Mytilus edulis: one gene and its partners. The protein of the gene in region 1 interacts with the protein of each later gene in a biochemical or structural test. Links are inferred from orthologs where the notes say so. Each region holds a gene or a part of one and is shown on either strand. Other genes may lie near its edges.

The links. The genes of interacting proteins can lie anywhere in the genome.
Region 2: the proteins of RING finger protein 11-like (region 1) and E3 ubiquitin-protein ligase SMURF2-like form a complex in vitro, tested with the Homo sapiens proteins (3 studies listed by BioGRID and IntAct, with this or other methods). The link is inferred for Mytilus edulis from reciprocal best matches to the Homo sapiens genes RNF11 and SMURF2.
Region 3: the proteins of RING finger protein 11-like (region 1) and zinc finger FYVE domain-containing protein 9-like form a complex in vitro, tested with the Homo sapiens proteins (2 studies listed by BioGRID). The link is inferred for Mytilus edulis from reciprocal best matches to the Homo sapiens genes RNF11 and ZFYVE9.

The regions. Positions count from the first base shown.
Region 1 is NC_092344.1:15,814,434-15,823,531, reverse strand, and holds the start of RING finger protein 11-like, read right to left. Parts: upstream 3,243-9,098; 5' UTR 3,222-3,242; coding exon 3,102-3,221; intron 1,512-3,101; coding exon 1,360-1,511; intron 1-1,359. Other genes in the region: uncharacterized protein, read left to right, coding at 3,816-3,841, 6,196-6,330, 6,975-7,063, 8,967-9,098. UniProt on the Homo sapiens protein: Essential component of a ubiquitin-editing protein complex, comprising also TNFAIP3, ITCH and TAX1BP1, that ensures the transient nature of inflammatory signaling pathways. Promotes the association of TNFAIP3 to RIPK1 after TNF stimulation.
Region 2 is NC_092352.1:15,167,822-15,176,220, reverse strand, and holds the start of E3 ubiquitin-protein ligase SMURF2-like, read right to left. Parts: upstream 3,792-8,399; 5' UTR 3,667-3,791; coding exon 3,609-3,666; intron 618-3,608; coding exon 579-617; intron 1-578. UniProt on the Homo sapiens protein: E3 ubiquitin-protein ligase which accepts ubiquitin from an E2 ubiquitin-conjugating enzyme in the form of a thioester and then directly transfers the ubiquitin to targeted substrates.
Region 3 is NC_092344.1:110,622,810-110,630,711, forward strand, and holds the start of zinc finger FYVE domain-containing protein 9-like, read right to left. Parts: upstream 3,792-7,902; 5' UTR 3,705-3,791; exon of another isoform or gene 3,666-3,704; intron 2,410-3,665; 5' UTR 2,378-2,409; coding exon 2,323-2,377; intron 1,582-2,322; coding exon 1-1,581. Other genes in the region: ERI1 exoribonuclease 3-like, read left to right, coding at 3,847-4,062, 5,823-5,939. UniProt on the Homo sapiens protein: Early endosomal protein that functions to recruit SMAD2/SMAD3 to intracellular membranes and to the TGF-beta receptor.

The DNA of each region.
Region 1 (9,098 bases):
TCAAAAATACTAACAGTAGTATGTTTTATGAACAAAATGATAATATTATCATGTTGCAAAAATGTAAACTTTAAAGGTCACAGCTGTGGGGAATTCCTACTCAAAGAATATTATTACAATAAAAGATTAAAATCATTTCTTTGTGCACAGTCAATCAAACTTCCCTATTTTAACCCCTACCCTATTTTTATCATCATTTTCTTTTCAGTACTTTCAAGGACACAATGTCTGCGCAGTAGACTATGGAAATATAAATTAACTATTTTTAAAATCCATTTTTTTTTTCATCATGTGACAGTAAAAATATGAATATTTAAAGATAAATTACCTATTTAATATGCTATTTTTTTTCATCATGTGACAGTAAAAAATATGAATATTTTTTTATCATCATGCGAGTCTGACAGTAAAAAATATGAATATTTTTTTGTTGGCCTTTAAAATATAAAATGATTTACAAAAGAACCTTTTAAAGCACTTATAATGTGATGGGGCCTCAACAGGAAGTTTTGACAAAATAATGTAAATGAAACAATACATAACTAATTCCTGTTTACTATATGAGTACTTCCTTATGATAATAAGTAGGTCACATGATTAAAGTGCTTAGTAAAGCTAGATTTAAAGATAGTTAACCAAGTGTACTTTTTTCAACCTGTCTACTTACATGGAAATATAAATAATGTATGTTTATTTACGGTAAAGAAAAGGAATATAAATCAATTGAACTCTTTTGATACCTATAGTTACACAAAATCAATCCTTAAATATACACTTTTCAAACATATTAGGTAGACACTAGACAGTATCAAAATTTGATAAAACATAAATATAATTTAAGCTATAAAAGATTATTTTAAAAATTAAAATCTGTATTCTGCAGACCAAAACAAGCGACTCTATTATAAGAACAAATAATACAATAAACATTTTCACTAGTGTTTTTTTTTTACAAAAAACAAATCCTAAAACTTTTAGTCTATAGATTTAATCTGAAACATACATTGTAACTTATGAATATAAAATACTAAGCAAAATGCTAGTCCAATATTGCTCTGACCTTCAATCGCTGTTTTTCCGGAAAACAGGTTTAAAGAAAAACATTGAGCCAGCCAGACATTTTTGGTACATTGTACCTGACTAAACAATATGTGTTATAGTAGTCTCAGATTGAACCTTTTAATTTTTTACGACTCAAGCCATTTCAGCCAGGTGCCATATGATGAGATTCTACTATATAAATTATTCATACCCATATTAAAGAATGATAAGGCACATAAATATGACTTTTTTTACAAAGCACGGTTACAAGGTAACCACTAAGATAGTGACACCCATGTATAAATATGATCAACTTACTCTTTTCCTCGTTTACTACACCCATCATAAACTCCTGTAGGTAAATGACTTATAAGACCTAATCGTTGGGCAATCTTTATCTGTTCATCTTCTGTAAGCATATTAGCTGGCCGACTGACATTGGGTGATGGATAATATACTGGAGCTCGCTCCTGAAATGACCAAGACAAAAGTTACGAGTGTTAAGAGCTGACAGAGCAGTTGATGAAAGAAGAAGGCATATATACTTCTACATGATTGTCATGATAGTGGTTTATTAGAGCCACATTTACATGTACATAACTGCACATTCCTTACTCCAGTTATTGGCAATAAATTTCTATAGTCAATACACATTTAGGATTTCTTTAACTTTAATAAAGGTCCTGATACCTGATAAGTTATACTTAACTAACCATTGATACCTGAACCTGAAACAAATCCTTATCTATCTGAAACAATTATATCCTGTGTCTCCTAAATAAACTCATCATAGACATCAGGATGAAATTTTGTATAAAAGCCAGACACACGTTTCGTCTACAAAAGACTCACCAGTGACGCTCGAATCTCGAATCGAAACTCCTAAATTAGTCATCCTAACAATCATTAGATTGAAGTTGAAATGTACAATAACCTTCATTTACAATGTATATTTTAAATTTTGTAGTCTTTGTATCACGTTTATATAAAACTAACTTTATAAACATACTCTCTGTGAAGATTTTAAAACTGACATTGTCTGTATCTGTATCTGTATAATACTGGAAATGAACTCAAAATACTGAGTAAAACTTATCCAGGAAATGTGTGTGCACCACTGATGTATCTAGTCATGCGATATAACTGCCTTAAAACTTTCCACAGTTTTACAGTTCACGGCAGCATTTGGTAGTAAGTTCCAATCAATGATAGTTTGTGGAAAAAAAGAATGTTTATAAATGTCAGTATTTGCTGATAAAAGTTTTATTTGTTTGACGTTAGAAATTCTGGATGGTCTAGTATTAAATTCTATATGATGTTCAGTGGGGATGGCTACCAGGTCGTTCACTATTTTATACAGTAGTACCAGTCATTGTTCTCCTCTTCGTTCCACAAGAGGTTTCCATCCAAGGTCCTTCATCATGGAGGTGACACTACTCGTACGTCTATAGTCTTTACAAAGGAATCTAGCTGCTCTTCTTTGTATGTTCTCTATGCGGTTTATGTCTTTTTGTAGATATGGACATTAATTATGAACCAAAATGATTTTAATATTATGCAGAAACATTCATTGTTTACAGGTCCATGTGTTTTTGTGTGTCACTGTTCTAAAGACGCTCGAATCAAATCTCCTAAATTAGTCATCCTAACAATCATTAGATTGAAGGTGAAATGTACAATTAATAACCTTCATTTACAATGTATTTTTTTGTAGTCTGTGTATCACCTACATTGTATATATAAAATAACTTTATAAACATACTCTCTGTGAAGATTTTTAAAACTGACATTAATTATGAACCAAATGAGTTTTAATATTATTCAGAAACTCATTTCCATGTGTTTTTGTGTGTCACTGTTCTAAAAATAGGACATAGACTGTCTTTGTTGTCAAGATCAGCTGATCATGGGGTACATTTATTATACAAACACAGACATCAGCTAATATATATTTTTTCAAAATGTCACAAATATCCATTAAATTATAGTCCTAACTAAAAGTAAATGTTTGTTGATTTGCGTACACTTCTCATAATGACCATAAAATAGGAAATATTTACCTGATATGGTGGTGGAGGTCCAACTGGAACAGGAGCTGCCTGCTGAGTTCCATCTTGGCTGTCATTGTCATGTAACAGCGTAATATCATCCGTACTTGGTGTTTTGAAACAGTTGCCCATTTCTCACAAATATTTTGTCATTCAAAGAAGGGTATTTAATCGGTCATTGTTGACGAAATTTTGCACCAAAACATTAACCAAACAACATCAGTTTTTTTTATCCTTCCACATTTGTTGACGTAAATAAAAAGGATTATTTTTTTTTGACACAGAAATTAGCGATTTTATTTTGAATAATTTTTTAGTTAATATGAAATTTCGAACATAAGTACTACAGGAAAAATATTGAAGATTATTGCTGTATTTTTTTCCGGGTAGAAATAATATTCATAGCGTATGAATATGTCTACTTTCGTTTTAGAAAAATAAAACGCACACGGGAAAGCAATTTTATTAAAATGATCTGAAATCAATAAAAGTAATCGGTATCACTGTTTAAAAAATATATTTTCTTGTTTTTGGAATACATGTCTTACAGCAGAAATCATAACATTAAAATGTTATTCGTGAATAATACATTTACGCTGCATGAAAGCTTCTGTGGTACTCTGATCTACTTTCAGTTTGCCAATTTTGCAAGTTGTTCAGAATAACAAACTGAATAAATGTTATAATGTCCTGAGCAAATCATCTTTAATCAGCTGGTAGTAGAATATGGCAGGAACAGACAAATATGAATGGTAAACACACTATTTTTTTAGTCTTTAGTAATTACACATTGGAATTTTTTGGGAAATACTTAGTCTGTTGATAGTAAAATGCTGTCATTTTTATGTTTTGTTTGCGTGCTGTCTTTGTGATATTAGTTGGCGGCATTGCCACAAAACTCATCAGATGCACCACCTCCAGCTTCAAATTAATCCAATACACCTTATCTCTATTTAAGGAGGCTCGTGTGTATAAAAAAATCAGCAAAAAATTAAACAACAAATTTTATTTATAACACTATTAGTTATTACTTTATGATATGGTACAAAAATCACCCGGACTAATCGATTTGGTTTGGCCACAGATGACTTTAAAAATGTATATATCATTGAAAAAGCTCCAAATTATCTCCCTTTGGTGCAAAAATGTAATTTTTTGACGTTTAAATTGAAATATCTTTTTTAACTCATCGGTGACCTATATTTTTTATTATTGTTTTCAAATAGGCTGTACATAAACTAAACAATTGTAAAAATTAAGCGATTTCTGTAATTTAGTTCTTTTTTTATTTTGATATTACCAATATTTCTTCTATTAGTTCCACAGAAAAAAAGGACATTGACAAAAATGTATGCTTCTTTCGGAAGCAGATTGTGAGCTTGAATGAACGGTGACCCCATATTTTTATTTTATATTTCTATTAGGTATAAGATAAAGTTTAATCATAGAAAAAAATAGCAAAATCCTATATTACAAAAAAAGTTGATATAGACCCGTGAACCCCCTTAATGTCTGCCATTACTGGACATTGCACAGGTTCCCGTAAAATTTTGACGTCATAATACAAAATATCTGACGCCACAATGGAAAAGTGATTGTTGTATGACTTCAATAGTTCGAGCGGGACAAATTCAGGGGTCAGTCAGGATTAGCAATAAGGATTAATTAAGGTGTATATGAATAGGTCCATGAATTGTTTCTGTATAGCTTTTTGTAATTTAAGAACAGTTTGTCTACAGAGAACAGATTTTTTTTTCAAAGTTTCTTACACTTCACTTAAGAACTCAAAGCAGAAGTAGACTATTACCAAAATGTGTGACAATTTGGGAATTTGTAAATTAAACAGGAATTTATTTTTGTTACTCAGTTTCAAACAAACATTGCTGATGACTATATGAAACATTATGATATTTATTGTTGAAAATGCATCCTTGCTCCATGCACATAACACTGCAGCTAGTAACACTGTGATGGTGGTGTTGAAAAAGTATCCTTTTGTGAATATTTTAAATGATTGGTTAACATGCTAAAGGGCTTTTTTTTTTATAATAATAGCTTTCAATGTTTATCCATTTAACTTAACATTCTCATTTTTTATTTTTAACATACTTACTTAACATGCTTAATATATTCAAATTAGAAAAAGTCTGAAAGAAATAACTAACAATACAAAGACTTGTTATAATGCATGTTATCCTATATTAACATAAATATATATTTTTAAAAAGATGAACAAGCACATGCGATCATATAATGACGATTTATCCAGGTCTGTATATTTCAAGTCACATATTTATCAATTATCATGGTTTTTGACCAGGTCAATACGTTATATATATGTTCAGATTATATTGAGCGGGCACGAAGTCTGAGTGTTAATATAATCTTACAGGTCCATATATAGCGTATTGACTGAGTGAAAGTCCTTGATTTCTACATTACATATGTAAATAACGTATTAGAAAAATGACGTTCAATGTTCTTTCTGTGTATTTTTTAATTGTATTTTGCAAAAATTTAAAAATGTTATTGACAATATCATTTTTTTTTAAACTTCATATTTTGTTGCATTAGCATTCTCAAATTCTTTTCATCTGCATTTAACATAAAATTCTTGAAATCTCCTGATAAACTTTCAAATTTTCTTTTCTAATGCGGCGCTTCTTCTGTGGTTGTTATGTGTGACGTCATAAATCTAAATTTAGTAACATTTTCATATTGACCACCAATATATGTATTAATAGCAGCATAGCGTCACTATATGTTAAAAAAATACAACCTTTGAAACATGTGATCGTCATATTATCCAATGAAAACAGTAGAATGCCAGTGGCGGATCCAGAAATTTTAATCAGTGGGGGCCTACTGACTGACCTAAGAGGGGGCCACTCCAGTTACGCTTCAGTGATTCCCTATATAAGCAACCAATTTTTTTCCCAAAAAGGGGGGGCCCGGGCCCCTAAATCCGCCTCTGAATGCTATACCATATGTAATATAAAATAGTAACATTCAAACTAGTGGTTTATGCAAATGCATTACATATTACTAAAATATAGAACTATTTAAATGTTTATAAAGCTGCATGAACCTATAATTTATAATTTAGGTCAAACATCTTGCTTGAGTATCTTCCATCAGGTGTTATATTTGAGATCTGCAAACATTTGACTTGGCAAGATATTTTCCACATTAGTCAGACATGTAGGAGATTCAACCAATTGTGTGATAAAGCAACTATATGGTAAGTCAAAATATACCAGTGATTATTTGTTAACGTGGTACATAACACTACAGGGAGATAACTCTGTAAAAAGCAGCTGAATGTTTAAATCAAATTTTATTTTTAAGGAAATATAATGTTTCCCAATGATCAAAATGTGTCCTTGTCAAAATACTATATATCAAATGAAAATTTTCTGATAAAATACTCCATTCAAATTTTTTGGATTTTTTTATATTTTAAATATATGGGTAAAGTACACGCAGGAAATCCATGTAAATTTGTTCCCACAAGTAATAATAAATCCACAGCAATTTTCACTATTAATTCTTAACTGATATTTATACCCCTGCTTTAAACTCTGTCTATCAGTCTGTCCATCCATCTGTAAGTCTTTCGGTCTGTGACGTCTCATGAATATTTTTTGTCGCATCTTTCTCAATATCTACATTACAACAAGATTTCTGAAATTTGGTTTATGGGTTAATATGAGTCAGCTTTACTGTGTGATGCATATCAAATTCATCACTGAACAACTTCTTATTTTAACTAATTCTTTCAGAGGGCAGGGTATCAAAAGTGATCAGTAACTCACAGATTTACTTGTTTTGATTGTTGTTATTTGTATTTTTGTCTGATAATTTTGAAACATGATCTATTTACAGGCTACAGTTAAAATCTCTAGATTTCAGTAAATGTATGTTTCCATTAGACTTGAAAGTTCTAGATGTTGTCAAAAGATGTCCTCAAATAGGTAAATATCTTTCTCAGTTTCTGCAAATTGTATGTTTCCCAAATACTGAAGAATTAAGATTTACAATAAGTAAGTTGTTTTAATAAGAATTAAATGCTTCTCTTTAAAATTTCATTGGGGTATTAAAGTGTAAGCTGAGAAGAAAATATTGTATGAAACAGAGTCACTTCATATAAAAAATGTATCAATTGTATGCTTTAATTAACGTCTGAAATTATAAAAAGGAGCATTCAATCCTTATAATTACATTTTAATGCTACAATGTTGAAATTAAGAGTTGAATAGTTAGCATATTATTAGCATGTTTTAAATTAGTTTTTTTTAGTTGAGTAATTCTTAAATTAGAAAATACTGCATGCATTTATTTTTAGGATTTTTATACAACTGCAAAAATGGTCGTCGTCACCTTCGTCCAAAGACAGATGGTTTCCAATACATGTAATAACTTTGGTATAAGTAAATAGAAATCAATAAAAGTTTAACACAATGTTTATAACCACAAAAGGAAGGTTGGGATTGATTTGGGGGTTATGGTCCCAAAGGTTTAGGAATGAGGGACCCAAAAGGGGCCAAAACTAGCATTTATCTAGTTTCAGGACAATAAGTTGTGTAAAAGTATTTCAATTGCTCTGAAATTGTACCACAATGTTTTATACCATAAGTAGAAGGTTGGGATTTATTTTAAGGGTTAAGGGGCAAACGGTCTAGGAATTAAAGCCAAAAAGGGGCCAAAAACAAGCATTTTTTTAGTTTTCGGACAATAACTTGTGTATTATTGTATGGATCTCTCTGACATTGTACCACAATGTTCCATAGAACAAAGGGAAGGCTGGGATTTAGTTTGGGGTTAATTTCCCTGAACATGTAGGCATAAGGGGCCATAAAAGGACCAAAAAGAAGCATTTTTTTAGTTTACAGACAATAACTTGGTGTTTAAGTGTATGGATCTCTCTCAAATTATACTACAATGTTTCTTACTACAAAGGAATGACTGGAATTGAGTTTTGGGTTTTTTTCTTCAAGGGGGGTTTCAATAAGTTTGTGCCAAAAAAGGGCCCCAAATAAGCATTTTTGTAGTTTCCAGTCAACTAGTGTTTAAATCTATAAATCTCTCTAAAATTATACCACAAGTTTCCATACTACGAAGGGATGGTTATGGGGGTTATGGCTCAAATAATTTAGCAAATAGTGGCAAAAAAGGGGGGAAACGAGGGTTTTTCCTGGTTAAAGGCAATTTAGACAATTTAAAAGCAGTGTAAAGGAGGTATTCCCAATTCCATTTAAAGAATACTGTTATATACATGTTTGATTACCTCCCTTAAACTGCTTGAAAATGATGTATTAAGAAATGGTGCTTGTCTTGAGATGATTAGCTGTAATCTTTTTTTAGAAGTTACTATAATTAATATTAATTTTTACCATGACTGTATGTCATCTTATATTTTAATATTTTATGATCTATTTAAATGAGTAGTAATTGTTGCAAACTCCATTAGAAATTTGAATTGATATTGTTTTTGGAATAGGGGGGGGGGGGTTCTAATTTTTCTCATTTTAGATTTCAGAAATTGCAAAGAAAATTTCTTCAAACATTAATTTTTTGAAGGGATTAATATTCAACATGTTCAACACTCAACAGCATAGTGAATTGCTCAAAAGCAAAAAAAAAAATATTAAGTTCATTAGATCACATTCATTCTGTGTCAGAAACCTATGATGTGTCAACTATTTAATCACAATCCAAATTCAGAGAAGAAAATTTTTCATACAATATATATCAGATATCAGAATGAGAGTTCTTGTTTTATGACATTAAGGTAGTCAAATTATTCACATTAAGAAAAACCTCGCAATTAATTCTGAATTTGAGGTAGTTTGTTTTTACATAAGTTTATTTTCACAGAATTTTTGAAGTTGACTAATGTGGTTTCATCAGAGAATGCACGAAAGTTTAGAGAAGAGGAGACCACTCCTGCTGACAGATTTCTTCTGGAAGTCTTACGGCATTGTCCAAGTCTATACACAATGGACTTGT
Region 2 (8,399 bases), on another chromosome or scaffold:
AGGCGAGACAAAAACAAAATTTATTGTTAGGTACATTGTACATCAAAATATAGGCATGTAGTCTTATTCTTTATACTGGGAGTGGGAATAGTCTGCCCTTTCATTTGCATGTGAATATAAGCAACTCTTATTCTCATTACCAACTGATAGCATTACATGTTCGTATAAAAAACAAGAGTTACTATTGCATGTATTGTGACAGCATACACATTACAACTCAATGCTGTCAAGATGCTGCCTTAAACCAAATATGAAGCATTTCTATTTATGTAAAGAATTCTCCATATAAGTATGACAACATTTTGCCATATAAAATTTCCTTACATTTATTTTTCCCATTCACAAAATTTAGTGTTGAAATGGAACAGAAGTACCTATGTCATTTGAAAATCCTTTCGTAAATGCCAAAGTGATGAGCACTATAGAAAGGCTAAATCAAAGGTTTATTTTGTGTTTATCCTCTTTTGTTTTCCATATATTCTACTGACATTTTTACACAGTGTACATGTAATGGTTGATGCATGTATGTAACGAATCTGCCAAATGCGAAAAGAAAGTATTTGGACTGGTATACTTACGGAAGAAGTCTTTCTTGGCTAAGTTCTTGGCACATAGAACTAAAATAGAAAAAAAAAATTATTGTATGATGTGTGTACAAGTACATATAAATATACAAGAGACTTTTCCACTCACTGACCATACTCATCATGACACGGTACAATGCAGTATAATTTTTAATACCAAAACCCAAAACACCCACAATTTCCACATACATGTATGTGAATGGTTGGAAATGATCAATAATATGTTAATCAGAGTGGCTGTTTGTACACCTAGCCGGACAAATAGTGCTAGGACTATTTGTACGGTAATTGCAATGCGCATGTCACTTTATGTGCTTGCATAACTTATGATAAGTGCATGTAATATTATCTTCAGCAGCACCATGGGGTTGCGTGTACTCCGAACACTGATTTTCAATTGTGAGATAATGGTTGAAAACGGCGATATAAAAAATTGTGATAAATTTTCCAGTTTTTAGAATTTGACAAGCAGATACATTCGATAGTATGAACTTCAAAGAATGATCCAATTTTATAAAACGGACTAAAAAGTAATTGAAATCACAAAGAAAGGGGGTCAATCATTCTGTTTGACAGCTTCAGACATACTAATTTTGTACCTTTTTCAACTAGACCAAATCCTTTTGTTAACTTAATATGCCTATCAGGACCCAAGTTTGTTTTACAAGTTATTTCTTCCCTCTTCTTACAATGTGAAGGCATAGATAAAGAAATGAATATACAAATTATGATACATATGATTTTTTTTTTCTAATTACACGTTGTCCACATTCAACTTCATATGAAACTAACAAGATTTGGCACGACAATTTAAGATGGCAAACCATTGCTTATTAAATGTTTATATATATAATTTGTGACCCCCTGGTGCGGCTGAAGGTAATATTACAAGCACACACAATATTAACATGCGCATTGTATTGGCCGGACAAATAGCAACTGCCTTTGTTAATTTGTGTGATATTATATCGAAAATGCCATTAACATAAAATGTAACAGAGCTCTTGCTAAAAAATAATTATAAACTTTAACCATTATTGATAGCACAGACCCTGCCCAGACTGTGACACATGTACATGTACAGCACTTCAAGTATCTTCTAACCCATTTGCAAAGACAAAACAAAATTAATAAGACAATGCTACATTTTATAATATAAAGAATCATATTTTTTTTAAATGATTAAGGTACATTCCCATGAAAAATCCAGATTATCCTCATAATAGTATTTCCTCTCATGTCCAAATTTGAAATATTTCCTGTCAAATGTGTATCTTCCTCTTTCATTTGTCTTTCTTTTAACAAATCATAACCTAGTTAATTCTTAATACAGAGATGCATAAAGTTAAAAGTCCATGAATTCAAGAAATATGTATATATGACATGTTTGGTTGAACATGTCTATTGGAATAAAGATTGGAAGTCCGAAGTGGCAATATACTGGAAGTAAAATTACCATACATGTACAATAGTGAATACAGACTTATGTTTTGTGTAATGAATACTATCTATTGTTTTTACAGCAGTAAAACCAATTAAAAGATATATCTATTTCAGGAGTAAATACTTATAATTCATATAAATTTTAATTTGAAAGTTATTATTTCAGGAATTGATAATTAAAGTTTATGTAGAATTTTATGCATCAGATCCAGGAAATCAAATATTCCCAGAAATGTTTGGGATTGACCCTACATAGTACATATATTATACAAAATGTAAATTGTAGCTGTATTGTTAGCAATTATACCACATCTTTTTCATACATTATATATAATCATGATAATAAATTATCTATTGAAAATGTTAAAATTTGGTCAAAGATATTTTGATAATATAAATTATAAATCAATTATTAAATGTATATACTAATCACAAAATCAAGATTATTGAAAATAATTTTTGTTTCATCTATCATAATTTTCATTTAAAAAAATAACTTAATAAATAACCCTTTTAACATCTCCATGTTAATGAAGATAATCATGACTTAATTCTCCGATTAAAATGGACTATCAATTTGAACTTAATACATATATATAAATACAAACTTTTGAGGTGTACATGTACGTACGGTACTCTGCATTTATAAATCTGCATCCTTAGGAAGTTCTTCAACAATTTGCAAATAATATATATGATAAACATGTACACAAGAATTACATGAGGATATGAATGTTTTTGAATGCATAACTAATAAACTCTTTACTCGTATACATTTGTAAAAAGGCTAACTATGCGATTCCATGTTACCTTGTCACAAAAAAATATGTCTGGACTCATTTTTTTCAAAACTTGTATGGCCAAATGATATATCATAGGAACACTATGCCAGTAAAGCAATACTAATGTTTCCCATAATTTAAGTGCTTTCATAGCCGGCAAGACAAAAAATTGAAAAACCTATTAGAATAAGTATTCAAATATGGAGCATGCTGTCTGATTATTCTATCATGTCTATTGTTGATTTCAGGATCAGGATTTTCAAGGTGATTCTCAACAATACATTTGGTTAGTAAGACGATGTCTCAACAAACTACCCAACAACATGACTCATGTGAATGACAATAATTACCTTCAAGAGATTTAATAAAATCTTATGCATATGGGTAATCACAATGTCAAAAAGAGGTATCCAACAAAAGCAATGCCAATGAGACATCTTCAGAAAAACGCTTTTCACAATCATCCTTTGTGTTTAAAGAGAAAGTAAAAGTGGTTTTCAGTCCTGGCCTTACTTGTTGTCATTTATAAAGTTTTTCATTGATGATGGTAATGTACATCATTTTAAGAGTGGTCTCAACAATTGACGCCGTCAAATTATAATATATCAGAATTTACATATATATAGGCCTTAATTCTTTCTTAAAATAGTTGGTACACTCAACGATACCGCTGTAATGATGATATTAATTGCTACTGGATTCCTCAAGGCAGCCATTTTTCTTTGGAGTACAATGGGTCATCGACAAATACCGTTTGGTTTCGATCTTATAGGCGAGTTATTTGTGTAATAAGGTGTACCTGTTAAACGAATTTTCATAGTAGATGTTCCATGACGCCTAGATCCGTTACTAGCCATTGCTAGATATCGAGATCATGATATATTTTCTGTCATTTTCATCCCCATTCATTTAAACAGAAAGCAAAATATTGTATGCAAATGAGTCTGAAACTGACAACTTCCGGTAGCGACAAAGAGGCCATTAAAAGGATTACTGTCGCCAAAGATAAGCGGGGTAATGGTAGGGGGAATTAGTAAGTCTTGCGTCCGGTATTTAACTAAAACAACTGTTTCATTAAGTGGTATTATGTAAATTGTATTCAAATTAAATTATGCCAGAAATTATGATACTTTTAGTTACAACTTATCTGGTTTTATAACTTAAAATGACATATTTATATTTGAAATAAAGTGACCTTTATTTTTTTCAGAGACAAAATGTAATGTAAATTGTAATTCACGGTCTGAAGTGACAAATACATAAAAAAATTATCGAAAAATTCTATTTCTTTTCTTATTAAAACTAGTTAAAATTATCGACAGTATTTTTACAATATTTGACACTTACACCCTGTTTCAACCACAGTCACTAATATTTGTAACTATTTTTATATATATCTTAGTGTTAAGGTATAAGGGACATTTTTTCTGAGACAAGTGCCTGTAGTTTGACTGACTGACCCTGCGGATCCTCCCTCTCCTAGTCTTTTTTCTACTTTTATCGGAGTTATCGGCGTATACATTACTGATCCAAACTTCACATGATAGAACTTGAATTTGGTGCCTGATATATTAAGTGCTGACAATATCATCTTAAATACCATTAATGAGATATAATTGCTGTGAATGACGTATTGATGCTTGGTTATCTGTATAAAGTACGATGAGGACAGTTAGTGACAGCTGTCAAGTCCACGGTCCATGCTAGAGTACAACCCTCTGCTTGGTGTCTGCTCCTCATCAAAACCATTATTTACTTTATATATATACATTGTCCAGCAAATTTATCAATTTACCGTGAGGGGGAAAAGACAATAAAATTCTAATAACATTGTTTATAAGCTAGATTAAGAGGACATTTCCACATCTCTGGGGTCACGTTGTGATATATAAAGAACTAAAAAGGAATTTACCAACATAATTGCTCATTTTACTAAAATAGATTGTAAAAACAACAAGATTTAGTTAAAATTTTAAAATTTCATCTTTTTCCTAAACTTTCTACTTGAGTCTCTTGGTGTAAGATTTTTTATTTACCGTTTAATTGCATGTTGACTGATGCTTTGCTTTAACTGACTGTTCATCTTTTTACCATAGCACGCGGTAAATGACTGTTTATCTTTTTACCATGGCACTAGAGTCACGATATGACTGTAATCTTTTCACCACGGCACACGGGCGTTTGACTGAACTTTTTACTATAACACATGGTATATTACTGTTCACCTTTTTACCTAGGCACTAGAGTAATTGGCTGTTCATCTTTTCACCGTGACACACGGTATCTGACTGAACTTCTTTTCACTATAGCACACGTTATATATCTATTTATATTTTCACCATGGCACACGGTATCTGCCCATATGACTTTTCATCCTTGTACCATGGCACTACAGTAATTGGCAGTTCATCTTTTCATCATGGCACACGGTATCTGCCCATACATCTTTTCACCATAACACATGGTATATTACTGTTCATCTTTTAACCATGACACACGTTATCTGCCTGTACATCTTTTTACCATAGTACACGGTATATTACTGTTCATCTTTTTACCATGGCACTAGAGTAATTGACTGTTCATCTTTTCATCATGGCACACGGTATCTGCCCATACATCTTTTCACCATAGCACATGGTACAAATGTATATTACTGTTCATCTTTTAACCATGACACACGTTATCTGCCTGTACATCTTTTTACCATAGTACACGGTATATGACTGTTCATCTTTTTACCATGGCACAGCCACTAGAGTAATTGACTGTTCATCTTTTCACCATGATACACGATATCTGCCTGTACACCTTTCACCATAACATACGGTATATGACTGTTCATCTTTGTACCATGGCGCAAGAGTAATTGGCTGCTCATCTTTTCATCATGACAACGTGACGGTATCTGCCTTTACATCTTTTTATCATAGTACACGGTATATGACTATCTTTGTACCATGGCACATGGTATCTGCCTATACATCTTTTTATCATAGTACACGATATATGACTATCTTTGTACCATGGCACACGGTATCTGCCTTTACATCTTTTTATCATAGTACACGGTATATGACTATCTTTGTACCATGGCACACGGTATCTGCCTATACATCTTTTTATCATAGTACACGATATATGACTATCTTTGTACCATGGCACACGGTATCTGCCTTTACATCTTTTTATCATAGTACAGGATATATGACTATCTTTGTACCATGGCACACGGTATCTGCCTATACATCTTTTTATCATAGTACACGATATATGACTATCTTTGTACCATGGCACACGGTATCTGCCTTTACATCTTTTTATCATAGTACAGGATATATGACTATCTTTGTACCATGGCACACGGTATCTGCCTATACATCTTTTTATCATAGTACACGGTATATGACTATCTTTGTACCATGGCACACGGTAACTGCCTATACATCTTTTTATCATAGTACACGGTATATGACTATCTTTGTACCATGGCACACGGTATCTGCCTATACATCTTTTTATCATAGTACACGGTATATGACTATCTTTGTACCATGGCACACGGTATCTTCCTATACATCTTTTTATCATAGTACACGATATATGACTATCTTTGTACCATGGCACACGGTAACTGCCTATACATCTTTTTATCATAGTACAGGATATATGACTATCTTTGTACCATGGCACACGGTAACTGCCTATACATCTTTTTATCATAGTACAGGATATATGACTATCTTTGTACCATGGCACACGGTAACTGCCTATACATCTTTTTATCATAGTACAGGATATATGACTATCTTTGTACCATGGCACACGGTAACTGCCTATACATCTTTTTATCATAGTACACGGTATATGACTATCTTTGTACCATGGCACACGGTATCTTCCTATACATCTTTTTATCATAGTACAGGATATATGACTATCTTTGTACCATGGCACACGGTAACTGCCTATACATCTTTTTATCATAGTACAGGATATATGACTATCTTTGTACCATGGCACACGGTAACTGCCTATACATCTTTTTATCATAGTACAGGATATATGACTATCTTTGTACCATGGCACACGGTAACTGCCTATACATCTTTTTATCATAGTACAGGATATATGACTATCTTTGTACCATGGCACACGGTAACTGCCTATACATCTTTTTATCATAGTACACGGTATATGACTATCTTTGTACCATGGCACACGGTATCTTCCTATACATCTTTTTATCATAGTACAGGATATATGACTATCTTTGTACCATGGCACACGGTATCTTCCTATACATCTTTTTATCATAGTACACGATATATGACTATCTTTGTACCATGGCACACGGTAACTGCCTATACATCTTTTTATCATAGTACAGGATATATGACTATCTTTGTACCATGGCACACGGTATCTTCCTATACATCTTTTTATCATAGTACAGGATATATGACTATCTTTGTACCATGGCACACGGTATCTGCCTATACATCTTTTTATCATAGTACAGGATATATGACTATCTTTGTACCATGGCACACGGTAACTGCCTATACATCTTTTTATTATAGTACAGGATATATGACTATCTTTGTACCATGGCACACGGTATCTGCCTATACATCTTTTTATCATAGTACACGATATATGACTATCTTTGTACCATGGCACACGGTATCTTCCTATACATCTTTTTATCATAGTACACGATATATGACTATCTTTGTACCATGGCACACGGGTATATGACTATCTTTGTACCATGGCACACGGTAACTGCCTATACATCTTTTTATCATAGTACACGGTATATGACTATCTTTGTACCATGGCACACGGTATCTTCCTATACATCTTTTTATCATAGTACAGGATATATGACTATCTTTGTACCATGGCACACGGTATCTGCCTATACATCTTTTTATCATAGTACAGGATATATGACTATCTTTGTACCATGGCACACGGTAACTGCCTATACATCTTTTTATCATAGTACACGGTATATGACTATCTTTGTACCATGGCACACGGTATCTTCCTATACATCTTTTTATCATAGTACAGGATATATGACTATCTTTGTACCATGGCACACGGTAACTGCCTATACATCTTTTTATCATAGTACAGGATATATGACTATCTTTGTACCATGGCACACGGTATCTGCCTATACATCTTTTTATCATAGTACACGATATATGACTATCTTTGTACCATGGCTCACGGTATCTTCCTGTTCATCTTTTTACCATCTATGACACTAGGGTGTATAACTGTTAATCTTTTCACAATAGCACATAGTATCAGACTACATCTATACACTGTGTCACATAATATATATGCAAGCCGTATGTTTCAGTTGTTCAGTAACAGAGCTGTATTACAAAAGGAGACGTAGATGTAACAATTTAAAAAAAATAGATTAAGAAAGGTTGCAAAACGAGACAATTTCGACGTGAAACACAATTTATGCTTGATACGGACTTCTGGCTTGTTTCACTCACTTCAATTTCACGTGAATTTAAATTCCGGTCCCCCCTTTCGTGAGAAAAATGTGGTTGATTATATA
Region 3 (7,902 bases), about 95 Mb from region 1:
TAGGTGGAACAGAATCGGCATCACTATTTAATGTTAGTGAGTTTGAAATCACAGAATTTTCATCTTGTACATCTTTTAGATAATCGTCCATGTCATCCTCATCAATATTAACCTCTTGACCAAAACCAATGACTTCAGACTCATCTGATTTCACTGAAGATTCCTTTGGTACCTGATTCCCTTGTATTGCAGTTTTTGAAATACTAGATGACTCTAACTTACAATTATCCAATGCCTTGACAGTAGTCTGCTCAGGAGAATCCAAAGGTTTGTTATTTGGGACACCACTGACACTATCATTTATTGATGCATTATTGTCAAAAATAACATCTGATAAGTCCAAAGTCGGTGTTGCTTCCTTTTTCACAAACAGAACACTATTAGCATCATCTCTTCCTAGACAGTCATAAGAATCATATCCTTCATCTGCCTTCTTATTATCATTATTTCCTGCAAGATTTGATTGTATTTGATCTGTTCTTTTCCTGGTTAATTCAGAGTTTAAACAGTCAGATTTTTCTGACTGTAACTCAGTTTTTGTATTATCTGACACAGGTGAGGACGAAAGCTCAGTTTTAACTGATTGTAACTCAGTTATTCTATTGTCTGTCTTTGATGATGTTGAAAGCTCAGTTTTTACTGGCTGTAAGTCAGTTTTTGTATTGTCTGAAGTAAGTGAGGATGATAGCTCAGTGTTAACTGACTTTAACTCATTGACTCTCTTTTCTGATGTATGAGAAGACGATGACGGAGTTTTGGCATGCAAATTATTATGAATCATTTCCATAGGTTTGTTCTTGGTTAGATCTTCGTTCCTCACTGATGGAACTTTTGAAATATTTATATCATGAGATATTGCACTATCATGACTATTCACTGGTACACTTTCATTTAAATTTACATGAATATTTTCTTCCACATTATCCTTCCCGTTACTTTGATAAAAGTTATTTGGTATGGCATTCTGTTGATATGTTGTAGATGAAGGTATTTGAGGTACATCCTCAGATACAGGTGTGAATATATCCACTACCTGAATAGGAAATTTGTTATAAGTGTCGTCAAAGTTCACACTTCGATCTACATTTCCGAATTCATTTTCTGTTAAATCAGAAGTTTCACAACCATGTAAATCAATCATCTGACTATTGTTTTCATTATGCATATGCATTGGTGCAGATTTATTGTCATGGTAACCATTCATTGTTAGTGTTAAATCACCAGGTTTAGTGGTATGTAATAATCTATCAGGATTTTTGTGACCAAAGTCAAAATTTCCATTTTCAACCGTTTCAACATGTCCATTTGTTATGACATTGCTGAATTTGGATGATACAGTCTCTGTTTTTGTTTTCAATGATGGTGCAAAGTCTGCCTCAGACAAATCAAAATTACTTGCTGGTTCATAAGGTTCGCCATAATCAATAAAGGACAGATATTCATCTTTGCTGTTTCTCTTCCAATTAGGAGCAGAACCTGCCGGTGCTCGACTTACTTCTTCCCAAGAATGATCCTCATTTTTGGAGAGATAAGTTGCATATTCAGATGACACATTTCCAGTAGGTTTTCTACTTGTGGACTCTGAAAATTGACATAAATTTACTAAACAAATTTATTCACATGAGTTTGCAACTGTATAAAAACATTTTGGTAATAAAAGATTAAAATACGACCTAAGTCTGACTAATGTGTATCTTACTTCCCTTTATATAGTTTATGTTGCATTTTAGCTGGCTCTACAGGTTAGGAATTAAAAGATAAACCAACAACAAACCAAAAAGTTTACAAAAACTTCAAAAATTACTTTTCTGATGGGAAATTGGTGCGCTATGCTAAACATGGCACTTACATGTACAGAAGTTATTAGTTGTTAGAAAGTTCCATATTAGCAATTTTATTTATCATCAATTTAACTAGAAAATAAACTAAGCAATTTTATAAATTCATGATCAAGAATAAATACTATCAAAATGTATGAGTAATACATTTTAATAAAAAAAGAAAATCTTGTTCATAAATTCGGAAACCAGAAAATCCTAGTTTTTTTCTCCCTTTATGGCGGTCCCTTATTCCTAAACATCTACAAGAATAACCCCTTGGAACCTTGTGGTACAATTTCATAGAGATACATACACTTACACTAAAGCTATTATCTGGAACCAAATGTCTTCAAACAATGATGACCCTGATAGCGTGATAACATTATTCAACTGCAAAAATTTTGCAGTCATATAAAAACTGGTTATTTGCTTAAATTTGAAATCAGTCATAATTAATCTAATCACATAAACTAGTTCCATGATGTAAAACTGTTAATATTACCTTCTGCTTCAAAGTCATCCAGCACCTTGTCAAGGTCAACTATCAAACTATCCATTGTTTTGAATATGTCAGAAAATGATATTCATCCTAAAATCATAAGATGTATAATTAATTTTTTTAAGAGTCAGCAACCAAACAAGTAAAAACGTTTTTATTAACCCAGTTTTTTTAAGTATGCCCAGTGCACATTGTTGACATTGCAATGCTTACTGTATCTTGTCATTATTGTGTTTACATTGTTTAATTTATCTATAACTTGTGTTAATATTGTTTACATAGTAGAAATTGCTACATGTATGTTGACAATAGCAAGTCAAGATCCTGCTTATATTGTTTATGTAACAAGTCTATACCTTTGTGTCTACATTGTTCCAATTGTAGACATTGCAATATTGACAGTAGCAAGTCAACATTGTGTTTATATTGTATACCAAGTATCTCTGAGTTTACATCATAGACATGTTAACGGTAGCAAGTCAACATTGTGTTTATATTGTATACCAAGTATCTCTGTGTTTACATCATAGACATGTTAACAGTAGCAAGGCAACATTGTGTTCATACTTTTTACTAAGTCTATACCTTTTTTTACATAGTTTACTTCATAAACAAAGCGATGTTAACAAATTTGTGTCAACATTGTTTTTATATATGGCATACCAAGTCTGTACCTTTGTGTTTACATCATTACATCATGATGTTGACAATAGGAGTCTTTACATCTGCAATGTCAAGAATCACACATATCCAAATAGGGATATATGCACCAGGAGGGAAAAGTTTTCAGCATACAATCAGTCGAAGGCTTCACAAGGATGCACCAAAGTCTTAGGATGAATTCAGCTACATTCAGATTAGTTACTTTATTCACCAATACCTTGTTGCAACATATATAATTCACCTTATCGCTATTTGTCCTCAATTACTGAACATCACAAAAGATCTCGTAAAATGTTGATGTCTTAAAAGAAAATATCTGATGCAAAAATGGAAAAGTGATTGTTGTATGACGTCAATAGTTCAAGCGTACACAGATTCTTAAGTCAAGGCAAACAGATTTCGAAATAGCGATAAGATGTAAAAAATTTGTCAAAAATTTCTTAAACGTACAACCAATCTTGTGTATACAATCAGCATTTGTCCCCTTTATAAATATCCTTATAATTTCTGTCCATACACTTAAATATATTGCAAATGGTGGAATATTATGGTCAAATTCTTTAATCATCTGTCATTTTGTATCAATTTTAGACATTTGTGAGCTGATCTCAGATTCCTGCGCTTATGTTGGGTTAAGTGGACAAATATTCAATTTTTAAAGTTATCATCACATTTATGATCACCTTCTGAAAAACTCAGGAGAAACTATCTGAAATATTTACCAGATATGCCATTCAGAATCATTTGTATTGAATGATCTCATCTTTATTGATGTTCAGCATGATCAAGGTCAAGGGAAAATATCAATCACATGACTAAACCGGAAGTCGTAGTTTAGAAACGAAACCAAAAGTAGAAGTTGTCATGTGTATTTACAAAACATCATGCAATCTCCTGAAACCGATAGTACAACGAATTTTCAGACAACATATTGCAATATCAACTAATTGTATAAACATGGCAGCAGTTTCTGATACAAATTTACAGGGCACAAATAATTTACAGCCACAACCTTTCAAATATTTTCTGGTTTTGGATTTTGAAGCAACATGTGAGAATGGGAGAACAATTGTGCCACAGGTATTTTTCATATCATTAACTTGTATAAAGAAAGATGGGACATGTGTTTCACTTAGTATCAGTATGATGATGATGGGTGCCAGTGGCAGATATCATACAGACGTAGTCAGGTAGTGCACAGGGGCTTATAAAAATAAATATTTTATATAGGATAGTGATCGCCATTGACAGTAAAACTTCGTCTGACCCACTAAACAAGCCCCTGTGCGTAGTGATGGATGTGTCAGTGGTGTTCGCCCTAAATTGATCACCCAAGAATAAATATGTTGTTTACAATATGTAAATTTTTAGTAAAATCATCAAATAATTTTCTTTGATTGTTTATCGCTTTAGTGGGAATTACCCCCTCCTTTTTAAAAAAATCCTGGTTGCAGAATAGCAATGATAATGCATGTGTAAGAAATTCATTATATAACCCCATTGTTTTATTGATGTGCTAATATAACATTTGGAAGGGCTGTATTTCAATGTGCTGTTTTATTTCAATTTGATCCTTATTTGTGCTTAATTTATTTAACCTTCATATTTGCTTATTTTATTTGACCCTCATATGTGCTTATTCCATTTGACACTTATGTGTACATCCTGCCCCAAGTTAGTCCTTGAATTTTGTTTTCTTTAAATATATGCTTTCCTTTTAGCGTATTATGCTCTGATCAGTTCAAACGTGAGATCATTTGATTTCAACTTTCAAATATCAAAAGTAAAAAATCTGGATGCCAACATGCAATTGTGTCAGCTCACCTTTTCAAATGTGGGTCTCTTTTTGCCTTTAATTGGAGACCAGTTTTACAAAATGATGATCGAACTGATCTATTTCTTAAAGCATCAACATAAGCTGCACGTTCACTCATTTTGTAAACACTCTAGAAAAAAATTGATTTTGGAGATGCTGAAATATTTGCATGTTGTTCCTGAAAACCCTGGTCAATTATTTCTTGTGTTATCAAACCAAAAAGGGGTTTAATAGTAAGCTTATAACCCATGGGTTGCTTATTTTTGTAGCATTATATATTTGGTGAACTTAACTTCCATCTGAAGTGATTAAATGGTCCCAGAATTTAATACTTGATAACATTATCCTATTATTAAATGGCAGTCTTGCAAGTTTGGAAAAACATGCATCATTCTAGGCCTTACAGTGTACTCCCAAGATTTCTTTAATAGATATTTCACATAATATAATTTTATAAGATATCTTATATATTATGTCTTATAAATTTTATAAGATAACTTCTATACATGTACTTTATTAGTTATCTTCTAAACTTTAAAAGATATCTTACATAGTACATGTATATAACATATCTTATATAATTTATAGGTGCCTTGTTGGCAGAGTGGTCTATGTAGTTCTACTACTAGCCAGTCAAAACTGAGGTTGTGAGTTTGAACCCTGCTCTTGCAGGAGAATTCGACTCCAATCTCAATTGACTAGATTTGCCAGTTTTCCTATCCAAGGTTGGTGGTCTTCTCGGGACACTCCGGCTTTCTCCACCTATGAAAAATTGACAGGCGTATCATGTGTTCATGGTGCAGCTGTTTATTTGAATTATGCCACTTACTTCTATATCAAATTGGTAAACCAGGGTGCATAGGACAACGACAGTCCTTTGACACTATTCTTGAATTATTCCTATGGATATTCCACAGAAATGAGAAAGCCTATCATTGATTTCAAGTTCAGGTTAAATGCTACATGTTGTGTAAATTTATGGTAATACAAGGTTTATTTAAATTTTCAAAAATGTACTTTTTAGGAAATTATAGAATTTCCAGTATTGAAGATAAATGCTGTGACTCTTCAAACAGAATCAGTCTTCCACCAATATGTTCAGCCAAAAGTAAATCAACAGTTGACACCATTTTGTACTGAGGTAAATTTTGTATATATCTTTCTTTTGCTTGTGTCATATTTTATTGAATATGATTACCATGCCAGCTTTTATTTGACAATTTTTCTCCATTATAGACAATTAGACGTAATATTACCGGTAAATGGTTATGGCATGCAGTATTGAGACAATACATTGACTATAATTATATAATATGAATGGTATTTTAAGTTGTTTATCTAATCTTGAAATTGGACTATATAATCATTATACAATTTATTTGTACTTGTCTAAACTTTAACCTCCACATATTTTCTTGCTATATGCAAAAAAAAATTAATTAAAAATTAGAGAGGACTGACCATTTTTTAAAGGATTTCAGGAAAATGATTTAAATTTTTTTTTTTTTTTAATTTGATTTCTTTATTATGTCATACATATGTCATAAGAAGTAATTATACAGGGATAATTTTTTAACATTTAATGTTTTAATTAAATGTAAGAACATTGTTATCACACCTTATTTGTTGTGGTAGTTTTTACACGACCGCAAACAAAATTTTCGGTCGTATATTGGTATGACGTTGGTGTCTTCGTCGTCCGTAGACACATTGGTTTTCGAACTATAACTTTAGTTTTAGTAAATAGAAATCTATGAAATTAAAACACAAAAGGAAGGTTGGGATTGATTTTGGGAGTTGAGGTCCCAACAGTTTAGGAATTAGGGGACAAAAAAGGGCCCAAATAAGCATTTTTCTTGGTTTTCGCACAATAACTTTAGTATAAGTAAATAGAAATCTATGAAATTTAAACAAAAGGTTTATGAACACAAAAGGAAGGTTGGGATTGATTTTGGGAGTTTTGGTCCCAACAATTTAGGAATTAGGGGCCAAAAAGGGGCCCAAATAAACATTTTTCTTGGTTTACGCACTATAACTTTAGTATAAGTAAACAGAAATCTATGAAATTTTAACACAAGGTTTATGACCACAAAAAGAAGGTTGGGATTGATTTTGGGAGTTTTGGTCCAAACAGTTTAGGAATTAGGGGCCAAAAGGGTCCAAAATTAAACTTTGTTTGATTTTGATTTGATAAAAAAATGAATTATTGGGGTTCTTTGATATGCCAAATCTAACCGTGTATTTAGATTCTTAATTTTTGGTCCTTTTTTCAAATTGGTCTACATTAAGGTCCAGAGGGTCCACAATTAAACTTTGTTTGATTTTAACAAAAATTGAATTCTTGGGGTTTTTTGATATGCTGAATCCAACCATGTAATTAGATTTTTGATATTTGGCCCCAGTTATCAAATTGGTCCACATTGAGGTCCAAAGGGTCCAAAATTGAACTTTATTTGATTTCATCAAAAATTGAATTCTTGGGGTTCTTTGATATGCTGAATCTAACCATGTAGTTAGATTTTGGATATTGGACCATAATAGGTAAATGTCCAATTTAAAATTTTAAAGTTTTTAAGTTTAAGTTCTTAGACCACCTTCATTCTTTGTCAGAAACCTATGTTGTGTCAACTATTTAATCACAATCCAAATTTAGAGCTGTATCAAGCTTGAATGTTGTGTCCATACTTGCCACAACTGTTCAGGGTTCGAAGTCTGCGGTTGTATAAATCTGCGCCCTGCGGTGCATCTGGTTGCTCAATGTTTTCTTAGACCTGTTATATCTTGTGTCCCTTCTAACAGTGAGTGTGGCTGTTGTACTCTGCTAAGCCTCTTTGTGTCCCTTCTAACAGTGAGTGTGGCTGTTGTACTCTGCTAAGCCTCTTTGTGTCCCTTCTAACAGTGAGTGTGGCTGTTGTACTCTGCTAAGCCTCTTTATGTCCCTTCTAACAGTGAGTGTGGCTGTTGTACTCTGCTAAGCCTCTTTTTAAGATTTTGTATCACTTTGCACAGTTTCTTTTTTGTAAACTTTCACATATGATCATGTACATTTAAAAATACATTGAGATAATTTTCATGTTTCCATGGTTATTGTCTTAGGGTTAGGG